Drosophila melanogaster: one gene and its partner. The protein of the gene in region 1 purifies or fractionates together with the protein of each later gene. This does not show direct contact. Each region holds a gene or a part of one and is shown in the gene's direction. Other genes may lie near its edges.

Evidence for each region. Proteins that work in one complex are often made in the same cells at the same time.
Region 2: the proteins of Sin3A (region 1) and Brms1 purify together in Drosophila melanogaster (affinity purification with mass spectrometry, with the first as the bait; 2 studies listed by BioGRID). This does not show direct contact.

The regions. Positions count from the first base shown.
Region 1 is NT_033778.4:12,584,764-12,592,443, reverse strand, and holds the start of Sin3A (Sin3A), read left to right. Parts: upstream 1-3,291; 5' UTR 3,292-3,728; intron 3,729-6,371; 5' UTR 6,372-6,732; coding exon 6,733-7,189; intron 7,190-7,260; coding exon 7,261-7,680.
Region 2 is NC_004354.4:12,905,495-12,912,195, reverse strand, and holds Brms1 (BRMS1 transcriptional repressor), read left to right. Parts: upstream 1-2,573; 5' UTR 2,574-2,758; coding exon 2,759-2,948; intron 2,949-3,015; coding exon 3,016-3,260; intron 3,261-3,507; coding exon 3,508-3,852; 3' UTR 3,853-4,210; downstream 4,211-6,701. Other genes in the region: CG4645 (uncharacterized protein), read right to left, coding at 487-783, 1,080-1,172, 1,237-1,443, 1,508-1,993; mRpL49 (mitochondrial ribosomal protein L49), read right to left, coding at 4,405-4,887, 4,952-5,008; CG4404 (uncharacterized protein), read left to right, coding at 6,415-6,583.

The DNA.
Region 1 (7,680 bases):
CTACAAGCAGCTGAAAGTTGTAGCCGCACTACATTCAAAAGTTTCCAAAAGTCTGCTTGCTGGCAGTAGTAAGAAATAAAGACTTAAAAACAAAAACATCACTTAGTAATATCAGGTATGTATAGAAAAATAAAAGTGCGCGCTCTTGTGAGCATGTCGAGTGTTTGTGTGTGTGTGTGTGTGTGAGTGAGTGGGTGCACAGAATAAGTTCGTACCTAACCTCAATTTCCCCCAACTGATTACGCTAGGCGGCACCACAACTTCCAGTGGTATTAATCATTTTAAAATAATGCATTTGCTGCCTTTTTCCTATTAAATATTTTCCTTGGGGGATAGGATATTAAGTTTTCAAGCTGAATCTTGGATTAAAATTTTGCGGTTGTGTATATTTATGGAAATTGCTCTTATCGCCGTTTTGTATATGTACATTAAAAACAAGGTTCCGCCATCTGTTGGCACGTGTACTTGTGTGGCTGAACATATTTAATTATCTTTGCTTTGATAAAATAAACTTAAAAAAAAAGAAAGAAGTGCCTCAGAAAATAAATAAAAATAAGAAAGCAAGGTATTGAGAACAGCAACAACAATGACGCAGTCACGCACACCACGAAGGCAATAAAGCAGCTATGTGTGTGGCTGTCTGAAAGAGGCAGAGCGCGTTTGCCGCGCTCACCTTTTGTTATTGTTGCGTTCAATCGCTCTAGAACTGCCAACTTGTTAGGATGTTGAAATTTTATGCCAGAATAACTTTGTACGCAAAACCATTCTTTTTTCATAGTTATTTCTTGTTTTGTATAAAAAAATGGAAAATTTATTTAATGTGAAAAAGGTTAATAAAAATTATGCAGTCAAAAATAATACAAAAAATACCGCATCAATAAATATTGAAATAATTTTTTTAAACTCAAATTTCGCTTTTAAAATCAGTTGGCAGCTCAATGTACCCTTTTGGTGCTCGCGTATGTGTGATTGTGCACAAGGTGAGCGAGACAGCAGTTTCAGCCTTCAATTTGCGGGTTTACGTTGATTCTAATTAAATAATTCGTTGAAATCGGGCTCACTGCTTCTGTGAGGTCCAATTGTAATGCACACACACAAACACGTTCTCAGTGCTTTCCTCAAATTTTCTTTGTGAAGCGCCTCAAGTTTCGACTGGCTTTTAAGTCTGGTTTGGTTTTGGCTGTTTGAAAACTTGAAAAACAAGTTACTTCTGAACTCAAACTCCCCAGTTTTGGCAGTCTCTCCACACTTCTCTCGATCTTTCTCCCGAGAAAAAAAAAACACTTGCCGCGTCGCCAACCAATTGTTTGCAATTCGCAATTGTATTTTAGCCAGAGGCCAACGAACAAGTCTCTTGAACTTGATGGTCGGAACGAAGTTGAAGTGTATTAGACGTTGAACACTTTTACACATATTTAGTTGTAACTTTTTCAAGCCTTCATCATTATATTATTAAAACTTGAGTGTTAAACTGTATGTTTAAATATACTATGTTATCATTTCAATAAGTATTGAATTAGTAAACAACACTGAAGCCGTTGTGTTCAATCGTGTAAGCCTATTCCCAAATTTATAATCGTTATTTTAATTTAAAAACCTTTTAATTGCTCTTAATTTTGATCCAACACGCATTTTGGCTCACCGGTAAATTTGTGTATAATCTTTTACATAAAGAAGAGGGTTCTCTAATCCTTAAATGGATTTATAGTTTTGATGAGAATTAATACTAAAGTTAAATATTTTATAGTAAAGTTTTCCATTTACTGTGTTGTCAATTTTTTAGGACAAACAAACAATAAATAACAAAAAGTTTTTATCACATTAAATATCATGTGACTCAAGAGAGTTAAAAACATCTGATAATTTGCAGAACACGTACGAATATCAAACTAATTAGTTTTTTTTATAGAAATGGGTCCGTGTGACAGGAACCTCTTTACCACATTTCAGATATCACTTGATCAGCGTCAGTTAATATTTCCTAGTGCCGCATTCCATGACAGATCTGAAATTAGCACAGGAATAATTAGAACATGCTAGACCACCTGGCTTTATTATCAATAGAAAAAAGCATCAATAATACCCAATGGGAGGGCAAACAAACCTTCCTGCGGCGCCTGGAAGTCGGAGAGTTTGGTTTGTGCCATTTTTTTGTTTGGTCCAGGGACTTTGGTGCACCTCGGACATGCGCTGCACCCAGTAGCTAGTTAGTTGCATGTGAACTTTGAACTTTCGAGCTGGAAAGTGGAAGGCGGATTTGCATTTCCTATCGCTGCAGGTGTCTCACAAAGAGAGAGGCTCTCTCGTATCCTCCGCCCCCGCTGCATTTTTTTCATTGCGCAATGAGCGAGACGAATCGATAACTGCAAGGTTTCCATGTTTTAGCAGCTCAACTTTTGCGCGTATACAGATTTTTTGTCTGTATTATTTTATTTTGTGAAGGAGCTGGCCGCCGAATTCAGTTCGATTCGAGATGGGAACATGTGTTTTTATGGTTCCGCCATTGTCATGGTGAGATGCACTTGCTTTTTTTTGTCTTCATATTTTTACTTCCTCTCTCCGCACGCACGCGTCTGTGTGTGAGTGCGCTGGCGAGTGAGGTGGTGGAGGAGTACATGAGTGTGTAAAGTGTAGCCGTGGCAGAGTTGTAGCTCGCTAGTGGTCCGTTTGGTTTCTGATTTTCGGTTTCGTCGATTTCACATATGTACTGCAATGGTCGGCTAAAACGCTCTGCCGACGTCGCTATCTGCTGTATACTCGTTGCGCTTGTGTGGGTGCGCTGCTCTCACACCCGCTCTCTCTCTTTGGCTCAAACAGGGTGTCTTACCCAGATGTTCTGATCATCGTTTCCACCACATGGCTGGGTGACAATGGTACACCCTGTTTTCTAAACAACTTGTTTTCTCTCTTCCCAGCGTTGTTGTTGGTCCTCGCACTTACGTAAGCCTCACGTATTTCGTTTCTTATCCAAATTCTAAGCGCCATTTTGCGACTATTTGCATGCGGTACCGCTCACCGCTAATAAAAATAACCACTGATTGTGATTATTTGCTAATAGGTAATGAATGGTATATAAACTATTTTTGCCGTCAGCTACTGATGTGTTTTCAACGCGCTCGACGGAGGATTTTAGTTGTTGCGCCGTTGAGTTGCCACCCTGTTTTAGCTGCGGCAGCAGAATAAAATGAATTCCAAAGCAACACTGCGCGCGCGCTCTCACGCTCTCCGTTTTACACTCATTTCGCTCTCTCTGCTGACTCCAAATGACTGGCCGTCGCGTTTCGCTGTTTTAATCGAAAATGTTTGCGGCGGCGTTGAGATGTACGAAAACGTTCTCTCGCCAAAAATTTGTGAATAGAATAGCAGTAGCAATCTATCGAGAAGAAAATGTCTTAAATTCGAGCCGTGTGATCTAGTTAAGGTCTTAGAGCCAAGTGCAAATTGATTGAAATAAGCGTTAAACTTAAACTGAACTGGAGAACGAAGCCCCAGCTACTGAAAGAAAAGAAAACGGTGAAAATAAAGATTTCGGTGTGCCAGTGAGTGCGAATATAGTAGTTGCATGTGCAAAATACTGCGTAAAACGTGAAAGTTTCCAATAACACCACAAAACCAACGGCAGTTTTGTAGTAAATATACATACGCGCCCCGTACATATATACATACATTTCGAATATACATACACACAGCCGAATATCAACCGACGAAGCTAACTGCTTATTGCTGATGTAAGTGTAATATGGGCGGTGGGCGGTTGTGGGGGGCGTGAAAATTGCAGAGTAGCATTATCCTTCAAGTGCACTTGGAGTGCGGATTCGAGTTCAAACAATATTTTCGTTCGTGCCACTGAAAACTTGTGAAAATACAACATTTTTAGGTTAGGTCAATTTCAATTGGTTTATATACACACGCACGCACAAACTCACACACACACAAACAACAATGGCATAGCGAATACATATAGAAGGCGCACAGACAAAAAGTCGTCGACGGGGACGTGGTTGTTGTTTGTGTTGCTGCTGCTGCTGCCTCTACAGTTTCTGCTCTCCTCACACACAGTTGAACACAGTTGTGGAGAGGAGAGCCACACTCATACATACGCTTTGAACCATTGCTTTTGGTTCGCTTATGAACTGACTGTATTTTTTCAACGTAGTGTCGTTTTATTTTCGTTGTTGATTCGTTCTTTGCTCAGTTCGTGCGCTTATCTTGACTTTTGCTTTGATGCGCCATTCGCATGTACTGGCGAGAGCAGCCTAGTGTGAGTGTGCATTTAAATGGCTCCCCAATGAGAGCATCATTTTGTGGCCCTCTTTTTGTTCAGATCTTCCTTTTGCTCCTCTTCTTCATGCTCCCCAGCCCATCCGTCGTTTGTTGTTCTTGCTCCGCCTGTTTTTTTTCATTCGGTTTTGAATTTACACAAAACGTTTGCCGTTGCTTCTTCATGCTGAAATAGTATATATGTATGTGAATATATTGTACATATTTCTCTACACATCCATATGTTTTATTTGCAAAATTTATTAATAGCGCAGCGCCACTCCGCGGCTGTGTTAGTGCGCCAGAGTGAGAAAGTAACAGTAAAAAACTAAATATTAATTCGCGTTGATTCCGATTCGTATTGCAGTTGTTCAAAACCGAGTGCTAGTGATATTTGCAAAAAATTTAACATATTTTCCGCTGGCTGCCTTTTGTGTTGCGTATTCTGCTGTGCTGTGTATACACATAACAAAACAGATAAGATAACATTATACGTGTGCACGTAATAGAGCGGGCTGAATCAAAAAAAAAAAAAAAGAAAAAATGGAGGGAAAATTTGCCCACATGTCTCCCCAAAGCACACACACGCACACAACGCCCCAATTTGGAGCCTCTCTCGTCAAACACTCACACACACCAGCAAGCGAGTAAATGTGTTTGGTATGCACTAATGGCGGATCCAAAAATACAATAACAACAAAGACAGTTGGGAGAGCTCAAAAGAGCGAACTTGTTTTACCTTCATTTATTAAAGGATAGTTGGTGGTGGCAGAGACAGGAGAGAGAACGAGGGCTAAAGCTTTTGTGCGGCTGTACTGTGCTCCAATATTTGTTTACAAATGCTAAAAGGGGGCAGCTGTTGGTTCGATGGGGTGTTTCAATTAGTTGGAGCAGGATGATCCTCTAGGCGGTTTCCATTCACCTAATATTTGCTCGCGGTCTTTGGTTTGCGCAGCGTTGCGCTCTCTTCATTTTTGCCGCTCTCTCTCTCGAATGCCCGCCAAATGCTTGCTGTGTCCGTGTGTGAGTTTGGCCCCAAACGGGTGAAATACCTTTTTGAAAAAAAAAAAATCATCCATATACTGCGCCTCAACAACAAATGCGGCTCTCTCTGGTTCTCTCTGTGGCTGCACCACCACCACCGTATCGCCACCACCACCTTTGCATTGTTGCGTTTGCTGCTGCTGTTACCTCTGACTCTTCTTCTTCTTATTCTTGTAAGTTGTAGATACAGAACATGTACCAGCAGCTCTCACACACCACCCGCCCGCCCCCTTGGCGGTATCGATATATAAATATTTTCTATGTGTGCGTCTGAATTCTATGCAAGCCGATGTCGTGCATGGGGCATTTGGCACCTTCCACATTCACAAATACTGATATGTACACACATACACACACACTCGGAGGTGTACACAGAAAGCTCGCTTAGGAAGTTTTTACTGTACCGCTGAAAGCAATAACAAAGCGCGCGCCCAATTCCGGTTGAACGTACACACACTAAAGTGAATTACGCGCTCCTCCTTATGCCTTGCACTCACTCTCCTCCAAGACTCAACTTCCACTCCACGATCTCCTTCCCGTCTATATGTATCAATCTCTGGTTGCTGTTGTTGTTATTGGTCACAGCTCCACTGCTTCATTCCATTCCTATTGTCCCTCATCTCACTCTTCTCCCCCGAATCCAGAACACCCAATACAGAGACACCGTTCTCCACTCTGTAGTTTTTGTGATACGGCTAAAAGAAGAATTCCCCCGTGGCTTTTTAGTTCACCTTTTTTCTTGTTGAAATATGCAATCGTTCCGATATCTGTGAAGATATAGACCGAATTGATCAATCAGCTGTGCTATACTAGCTAACATGTTTTGGGAAAATTAGCAAGACTCGTGGTCTTTAATATATGGAAAAGTATATTTGGCATATTTGTCCTTTCATTTCAGTGTCAGTGAATAAATTCTAGTATTAATGTGTAAGATTGTTCCAGTAATGCAGAATTTAATGATGACTAACTTCATTAAAAATAGACCCAAACCTAATTCTTGGGGGTTTTTATACATTTAATGTCGACATTATTGTATGACCGTTTCCCTTCTCTTGCTTTGCTTGCAGTGATATTCAGAAAGAACTCCAAACGCTACGTGGCAGAGGCGAATCACCGGCGCAGCAACACCAGCAGCAGATAACCAGCCGTCAGTCCAATTTCTCTACCTTAGAACTCGAGCGCATTTGCCGCTTGCGGGGCGACCAAATGCATAGACAACATATGTCGCATTCACGAGCAGTCCAAGATCAAGAGTTGCGACCCCGACCGTTTGTTGCATATTACATACGCTCATAGAGGGCGGCCACTCACCTAGAGCAGCCAGAGTCCTTGCACTTGGGCAGGGATCCAGGGAGCAACAAAGTGCTTAGAAAGAAGAAGCAGCAGCACAGGATTATACGCTCCGCCGAGGACAGAGCAACAAAAAAGATGATGAAACGCACTCGCGTAGACGAGGTGCAATTTGGCACACGACCCGTTCCTCAGACCTCCGGAGGTGTGGGCGTTGGTGTCGTCGGCGTAACTGGAGGTGGGCCAACATCCGGCGGCGGTGGCACTGCTACTGTGGGCGTCAATACGACGGGCGTTACCATTGGTACCGTCGTGCCCAGTGCTCATAACGCCACCATCAGCGGGATCGGTTCCATTCACCATCGCATCCTTACTCCACAGCATGGAGGAGCACAAACCATTGCCTATTTGCCGTCCACCACGCCGACGGCTACGAATTTGAAGACCACAACCTCGATTGTGGATAGCACTACCGCTGGAGGACCAGTAGGAGCAGGAGCACAGGTGGCCGTAGGAGTTGGCTCTGCAGCCGGCGGAGGAGGCGTGGTGGTCTCCACAGGGAGCACGGGAACGCAAACATTACAGTATACAACATGTAAGTAATCTATTTCAAACTCTGATGAAATACGTTTGACATTCAAATGATTTATTTTCTTGATCATATAGCTTATAGTGTGGCTTCGATACAGGCTGGTGGAACTCTGAAAGCCAACACAGCGGATGGCGCGAACACGGTACAGATTCATGTCACAGGAGGAGGAGCTGCAAACAATCCTGCCAGTGCACAGACTGTTTCCAGCAGCTCACAAACGGGCACAATCCGTCAGCGTACAATCAGCGGCACCCAGACAGTGGCCACTGCAGTGGGTAATCTAGCCACGATTTCCCAGCAACAACCGGTTCAACAATCACCTTTGGGCAAGGCCCAAACGCCTCCATCGTCCGTGGTTGCCAACAGTATCCCAGTGGGTGGAACCACCCCACCACAAGGACAGTCGGGAAATGCCACGCCACGCTTAAAAGTGGAGGATGCGTTGAGCTACCTGGACCAAGTAAAGTACCAGTATGCAGACCAGCCGCAAATCT
Region 2 (6,701 bases), on another chromosome or scaffold:
AAAAGTATAATGGTTTTGTTTTACCCAAAGAGAATGCCAGCAAAATTATGCACATCTTTTGATTTATAAATTATATTCAAATAGCCAGCAAATGCCCAAGTGAAAACTCATTTTGGTTATACTTTCGATTATATTTACACTTTTTCTTTTAATGATGGCATGATTAACATATTCTTCTGTCTTTCCTAAATATTTCGAAAAATTTATTTAATTTTCTACTACTCCAGCGAAAAGTTCTAGCGATTCTTTTGTTTCTGTGTTGATATTTTTGTTATATTTATGTTTTCTTTTTTTTTTTGGTATTACACGTACATCTACCTTTAAGATAATATGAATATACAGTCGCGAAAAAGTTATTGAAAGTGAATACAAACCACGAAGCTGGAACCAACGTGATCAGCTCTCTAGCGAATATAAAAATAGGGACAACTTAATTTACAGCTTAGTTCAGCGACGTTGACGAACTGGTTTCTCGCGGAATGCATCCTAGTGGGTCTGATTGCCGGGCACTGCGTTGACAACCGCCTGCGTCACGGCTTTCAGAGCAGCCGGAGCAGCAGGTGCAGCTGGTGTCGGAGCAACTGGATCCAGCGACGGGACTGTGGGATTGTGAAAGAAATAGAGCAGAAATCCGGCGGCCAGCACCACATGTGCACTCAGGATTCCAACGATGAGGAACAGCGAGAATTGCGAGTTGCGCAGCGCTGGCGTTAGCACCGCAATCAAAACCGTGCCCGAAAGCAAGGCGGCGGTGATCACCAGGAGCCACTGCAGCAGAGAGATCTGCAAAAGATTGGGGTAAACATGTGGCAATTAGAAGGTAGAAAATATATAAGTTCCTATAAACTATGCATAATGTCTGCTCAGGTGGAAAACTAATGAAGATAGCAAACCAGATTACTGTTTAAAACTTTGAAATATCATTGAATCTGGCATTAAAGTTAGCATGAGATAGTTCAAAAGTTGCAGTAAAATGAGCAGTACAGATATAGTCAAGACACGCAATAAAAATAAGCTAATAGCAAGCATTCAAGCAAAATCTTCTGCCGAATCACAAAATTTATAGAGAATTATCTTACATTGATCACCCAGAGAATGGAGACTGGTATATAAATGGCCAAACTGTATCCATAGATGCACATCAGCGACAAGAGGCTCGGCATGTAGCTGGCCTGCAATAAAAAACCCGAATATGAGCGAGATGGATGGATGGATGGGAATGCCAATGCAACTTACGCTGTCCGTTTCCACGGCATCAGCGGAGTCCACAGGCTTCAGGCTGTACTTGAAGAGGGCCCACAGAACGGCTGGCAAGATATTGGCATACAAGAAGATGGACGTAGCCGCATAGGAGACCAGATGGAAGTTGTAGTGCCATTTGTACGCATCAGTGGCTTGCTGCAAATAGCTGGCAATATTACCACTTATTGCTATGGAAAAGATCTGAAATGCAAATGGAAAGAGTTAGTTCCACTTTTGGAGTTGTTAAAACTTCAAAGCTACCGACCAGGGTGACGGTTATCCAGAAGGGTCCATATAGATCCGGATTCTCGCCGATGTTCATGCGCAGATAGTTGCCAGAGGCCCGTTTGGGTATCATGGAGTTGGCGATTCGCTCGAGCACCATATAGGTGTCCACGTTGAAGAACTGCTGGTAGTACTCGATCGTAAACAGTGATAGTTTCGCACCACCGCCTCCACCGCCGGCGGATCCGTCCAGCGATGAGTTCTGCGGCTGGGAGCCGCCCGAGGATGCAGCTCCGGAGAATCCCTGGGCCGAGGAGGTCATGTCATAGATGAGATCCGCCAGCGGATCGCCGCGTTGACGCTGTGCGTTGGCACCACCACCGCCAACGGAGCCGCCGGAACCAGCAGAGCCACCACCAGAACCACCCGATCCGCCGTGCGTAGGGGAATTGACATTGATTTGGGCCGGGGCACCGCCGCTGTAGTCGCGGAACTGCAACAGGTCATCGGCCATGGGTGTCTCCATTTAGATTTCGGCTCGACTAGATTGGTTTCGTTTTGCTAATTGTAAATATTACACGTATTTTGCACTTGGCCCAAAAAAATATCTGCTGGCAGCGATGGCTTATCGGTTATCGATAGGCGTACGAACATCAGCTGGCGACTGCATTCGTCAGCTAGAGATGGCAGACGGCGGTGGGGCTGAGCAGCCGAAAATGCCTAGATTTGGCTATTTCAAATAAGTCCACAATATTATATGGGAATGAACCATATTTTAAAGATGTATTCCTTTAATCTAAATATCGGAAATTACTTCCATGACCTTCTATTTATAATTTAATTTACGACAGAGTTAATATCATTATTTTTCATCAAACAAAAATATTGTAACATTTTTATATTTAAATAGTTACATGGGTAAATTCCAAATTTATTTTCTCTTATTTTAGTGGTCCAGGTTACTTCAAATTCAATGATACATTAATATTTTAATGTGTTTAACTTAATGAATAATATTTTTCGCAGATTTAGCTATTTTGTAGCCACTCAGCTAGATGCTCCGCTTGCGTTGACCAACACTAAATTGCCCAACACTCTTACGTGCGGTCATACTTTTTTTGATACAGCACACAGTTTAGTGTTTTTCCACAGAGTTTTCCACAGTTTCCACACTCCCCGATTGTCGAAAGCAAACAAAAAAAGATATCGCGCTTATACCGGCGGCCACCTGCAGTCCATTGCCGAATCGGAATACGCCGAGAACAAGGAGAACCGCAAAATCCACTCTGAAATGCCCGTGAAGAATGGCGAATCCGATGGCGAAGGCGACGTTTCTGGCGGAGAATCGGAGCACTCGAATTCCAGCCAGCCACACGACACCTCCGACGAGGAGGAGGCCAACGAATGCGATTCGGATGACTCCTCCGAGTTGGATGCCAGTGAAATAGACCGCCGGCGGGCAGAGCACATCGAGGATTTGCGTAGGAATCAGTACGTACACACTTAACACAAGCCATACTCATCGAGTTTCTTCTTTCCTTGACACAGTGAGCTTGGAGCGCCAATTTAACGAGTTGCGGGAACAGTACTACGTCGAGCGCATCAATCTCATCGAACGACAATTGGCCGAGGTGCGTTCCGGGCGTTCCGAGGAGTTTGTCCAGCCGCAAAAGGAACTGGACAAGAAGTATCGCACCAGGATCGAGGTGGCGGACGTCCTGCGCAAGTACCGACTGCAGAATATCGAGCACAAATACCAGTCCGAGGAACAAGCTGCCGTCCAGCACTTTGAGGTACATAACCAATCTCGATTTTTGGCGCCAAAAATGAGAAGAGCTAATTGGCCACCATATCGTCGCAATTAGATTGGCTTTCGTGTTGATAAGGCACTGGGGGCGACACTGCCAAAGCTAATTACAACACAAAATGTCACTCACTTATAGGCCATATATTAACGATTTAAGACAAATGATGGCTTAACTTAAGCGTAGAAGTAGTTGTTAATGTATCCTCTTGCAACTCACAACTTTTCCGTTGCAGAGCGAGAAACACATGGCATTGGACAATCTGCGCGAGGAGTTCATGGAGCGCATCCGTCGCCTGGAGGAGGATCGCCACAACGTGGACATCTCGTGGGCCGACTGGGGCACCGACAAGCGGCAGAGCAAGGTGCGCGGACCGGGTCGCAAGAAGGCCGTCACCGTCACGGGTCCCTATGTCGTGTACATGCTGCGCGAGGAGGATATCATGGAGGACTGGACGATTATACGCAAGGCCCTCAAGCGATCCTCCTCGTCGGCCACCGCTGCTGGCACAGTTACGCCCACTTCCGGCGTAAGCGTTAGCCTGTCCGGTTTGCCAGCAATGGCAGGAGCTAGCGGATAGCGTTGGGGCGTGGCAGCTGCCGCCTACGCCCACATGACGCGTACCTGACGGCCGCGCCCGAGGAAGCAGCAGCCGTAGACGTTTATGTATCAGTAGTAGCCGTAGCAGAGCCCCCGAACCAGACTTCAAATGCGTTCATCAAAATGGCTAAGCTCCGCCACCCATCCTCACCTCCTTTTCCCGTAGATTTTAGTACGTACGTAGTTTGTACGAGTCCCACTCTCAGAATATTGTGTGTGTGTGTGTGTGTGTGTGTCTCTCCCCTCCCCCATACAGACGATGTATGTAATTTATGCTAAAAGATAAGTGCAAATAAAAGCGAACTGCAGCCAAGTGGGCATGCGTTCAACATAAATTTAATTCGATTGCCTGCGAGTGATTCAATCTCCGGAAGGCCAGCAGTTTTGTTATCCAGACTTGGATACTATGGGTAGGAGGTCACAATGTGGGTAAGCCGCCTTAGGTGAGGCGAGACAGAAGAACACAAATCCCACATGATTTAAATCAACAGAAAAGCTTTTATTGCGGCACAGACGGTTCATTTGTGGACCTTCAGAAGCCCTTCTCCTTGAGATAGTCACGCAGGACGTCCACGTGGTCACCATGGAAGTGTATCTGACCGCTCAGCTCATTGATTCTCGTGGCGCAGACCTTGCCGTTTCGCGACTGCTCCACCACCGCACGCAGATCCTTTTCCAGCGTCCAAATGTCTCCTTGGACGCGTCGCACCACCGTGATCCGGCGCTGGCCACGGAACCTGGTGTGCAGATACACGGGCACCATGTGATTCTTCGTCCTGGCCACATGGTAACCCAGTTCTGAGCCATCCTCCTTTTGTGGCTGCCAGCCGGATGGATATTTTGGCTTCTCCACCGGCTGTGGTACTGTCTTCGCTGGTAGCAAGCGCTCCACAAAACGCCACTCGGGCGGATTGGCCACCACCTCCACTTCAGGATACTTGTCCAGCTCCTGAACTTCGCGGGATGAACGAAAACTGGACATAAGTGCCGGTTGCATGTGTATTTGCCTGGTAAGCTGCGTGAAATAAAAACAGATTTTAGGTGATTTTTTACTGGAATCCTTTGGTTTATCTGCTCACCTGGCTTAGCTTTTGGCAGAGGCCGCTGCCTAGCATCAGTTTGGCGCTTGTTGCCATGTTTTTTGGCTAAAAACTAACAGATTTCCCAAGAAATACAAAAAATAGTTGTTACATATGCACTGGCTGGTTAGTGATGCGCAAATGGTAGCGATAATTGTTTCGATTACTTAACTTGGCTAGAAGCTATCGACTTCGTTTTGTACAAAGCACCGATTTTCAAGCTAAAAAATATTTAAAAATGTAAATAGTCAAAAAATTAGGTGCAATGACAACAGTCAAATATTTAATTAGTTAATTAATTAACATCAGGTTAAATTTGATTTTATTTCGAAACATGGCTTAAATGGCCTATTGCTTAGCGAATTTATCTACTTTTTTCTAAAACTGAGGAAAATTAATCATTTCCGCCCAGTTTTTAGTAAATTTAATTAAATAAACACTATATTATATGATCATGCATTAAACGATCTTGGAATTTAGCTGCACGTACACCATTCAGCTTAATTTCTACAAGCTCAAACATTTTAGCCTAATTTGCGTTTTGTCTTTGATTGCTTTTGTCTTCATCACTTTAGCATCGCATGCAACAAATGCAGCGTGTGACGTCATCGCCAAAGCTTTAATCACACACGCACACACACAGAAGCGCCTGCACACACACAAGCGTTGCAAGTGCGGCATTTGAATTGCTTAGCTTATACAATTTTATTGCAGCTGTTGTTCGCCGTTGAGTTTTTCGATATGCGGTAATCGCGGAGTCATCGGGGTATATCGAAATAGTCGCAAAGTTGTCGATATAATTTTAGTAACCGTTGAAATGTGCAAAAAATACAATTAAAGAGAAATAAACACTTCGATTACGATCACCTTGAGTTTATAGGATTAGTAAATAGTATGAAAAATTGTGTGATCTTTTGATTATCTTTGGGAAATTTCATTATTCGGCGAATAAATATCAATATAAATATATTATTTCTGGTTAGTGTATATAGATGCTGCTCTGTACACCTTTACATTCGATTTATTCAGATGTGCTCCATTGCAATATCCTGCTAATTATGTTTCAGTGTAGATCTTGCTGCCTTTCAGCGGTGTAGGGTATTCGCTGTTCGTGAGACTCAGCGATTGCCACTTGTTGTTGCTGCTGTTTTGTGCCAGCATAAAGTGTTTGCGCTGCAGCTTTTGTTGCTATTTGCTATTTGCAGTTTGCAATTTGCAATTTGCGCGCAGTTTTGGTTGCGCGTTTGCTGCGAGCAGTTGCACTTGCACTTGCAATTCTATTGCCGCGCCCCCTCCCCTTTTTTTCTGTGTCGCCCCCTTTGTTTTGTTTTGCCTCTTTTCGTTCGCGCCCCCCGCCATCTGCACCGTCTGCAGAGCAGCGCTCCTGGAATAACTGCATGTGCGATTCACCGTTCTAGTTGGCGGCGTGCGTGCGTGTGCGAGCGAGCGAGACAGACAGAGGCATGTGCTGGGTCGCAATGGCGCGCAAGGACGATCCCGTTTTCAATGTGCGGTTCGTGCAGTTCGTGGAGAATCAGCCGTGCCTGTGGAACTACACGCATCCGGGCTACAGCAAGAAGGAGGATGTGCAGAGGGCGTGGCAGCAGGTTGCCAACGATATCAAGGACACGGGTAAAAAGGCGGTAAAAAATAAATCGGCAAAAGGCAACGGCGATTTTCCGCCTCAAGCTGCTGCTTCTTCCTCTTCTTCTTCTTCGCCGCCAATTGCGTGCTCATTTCACTGTCCGTG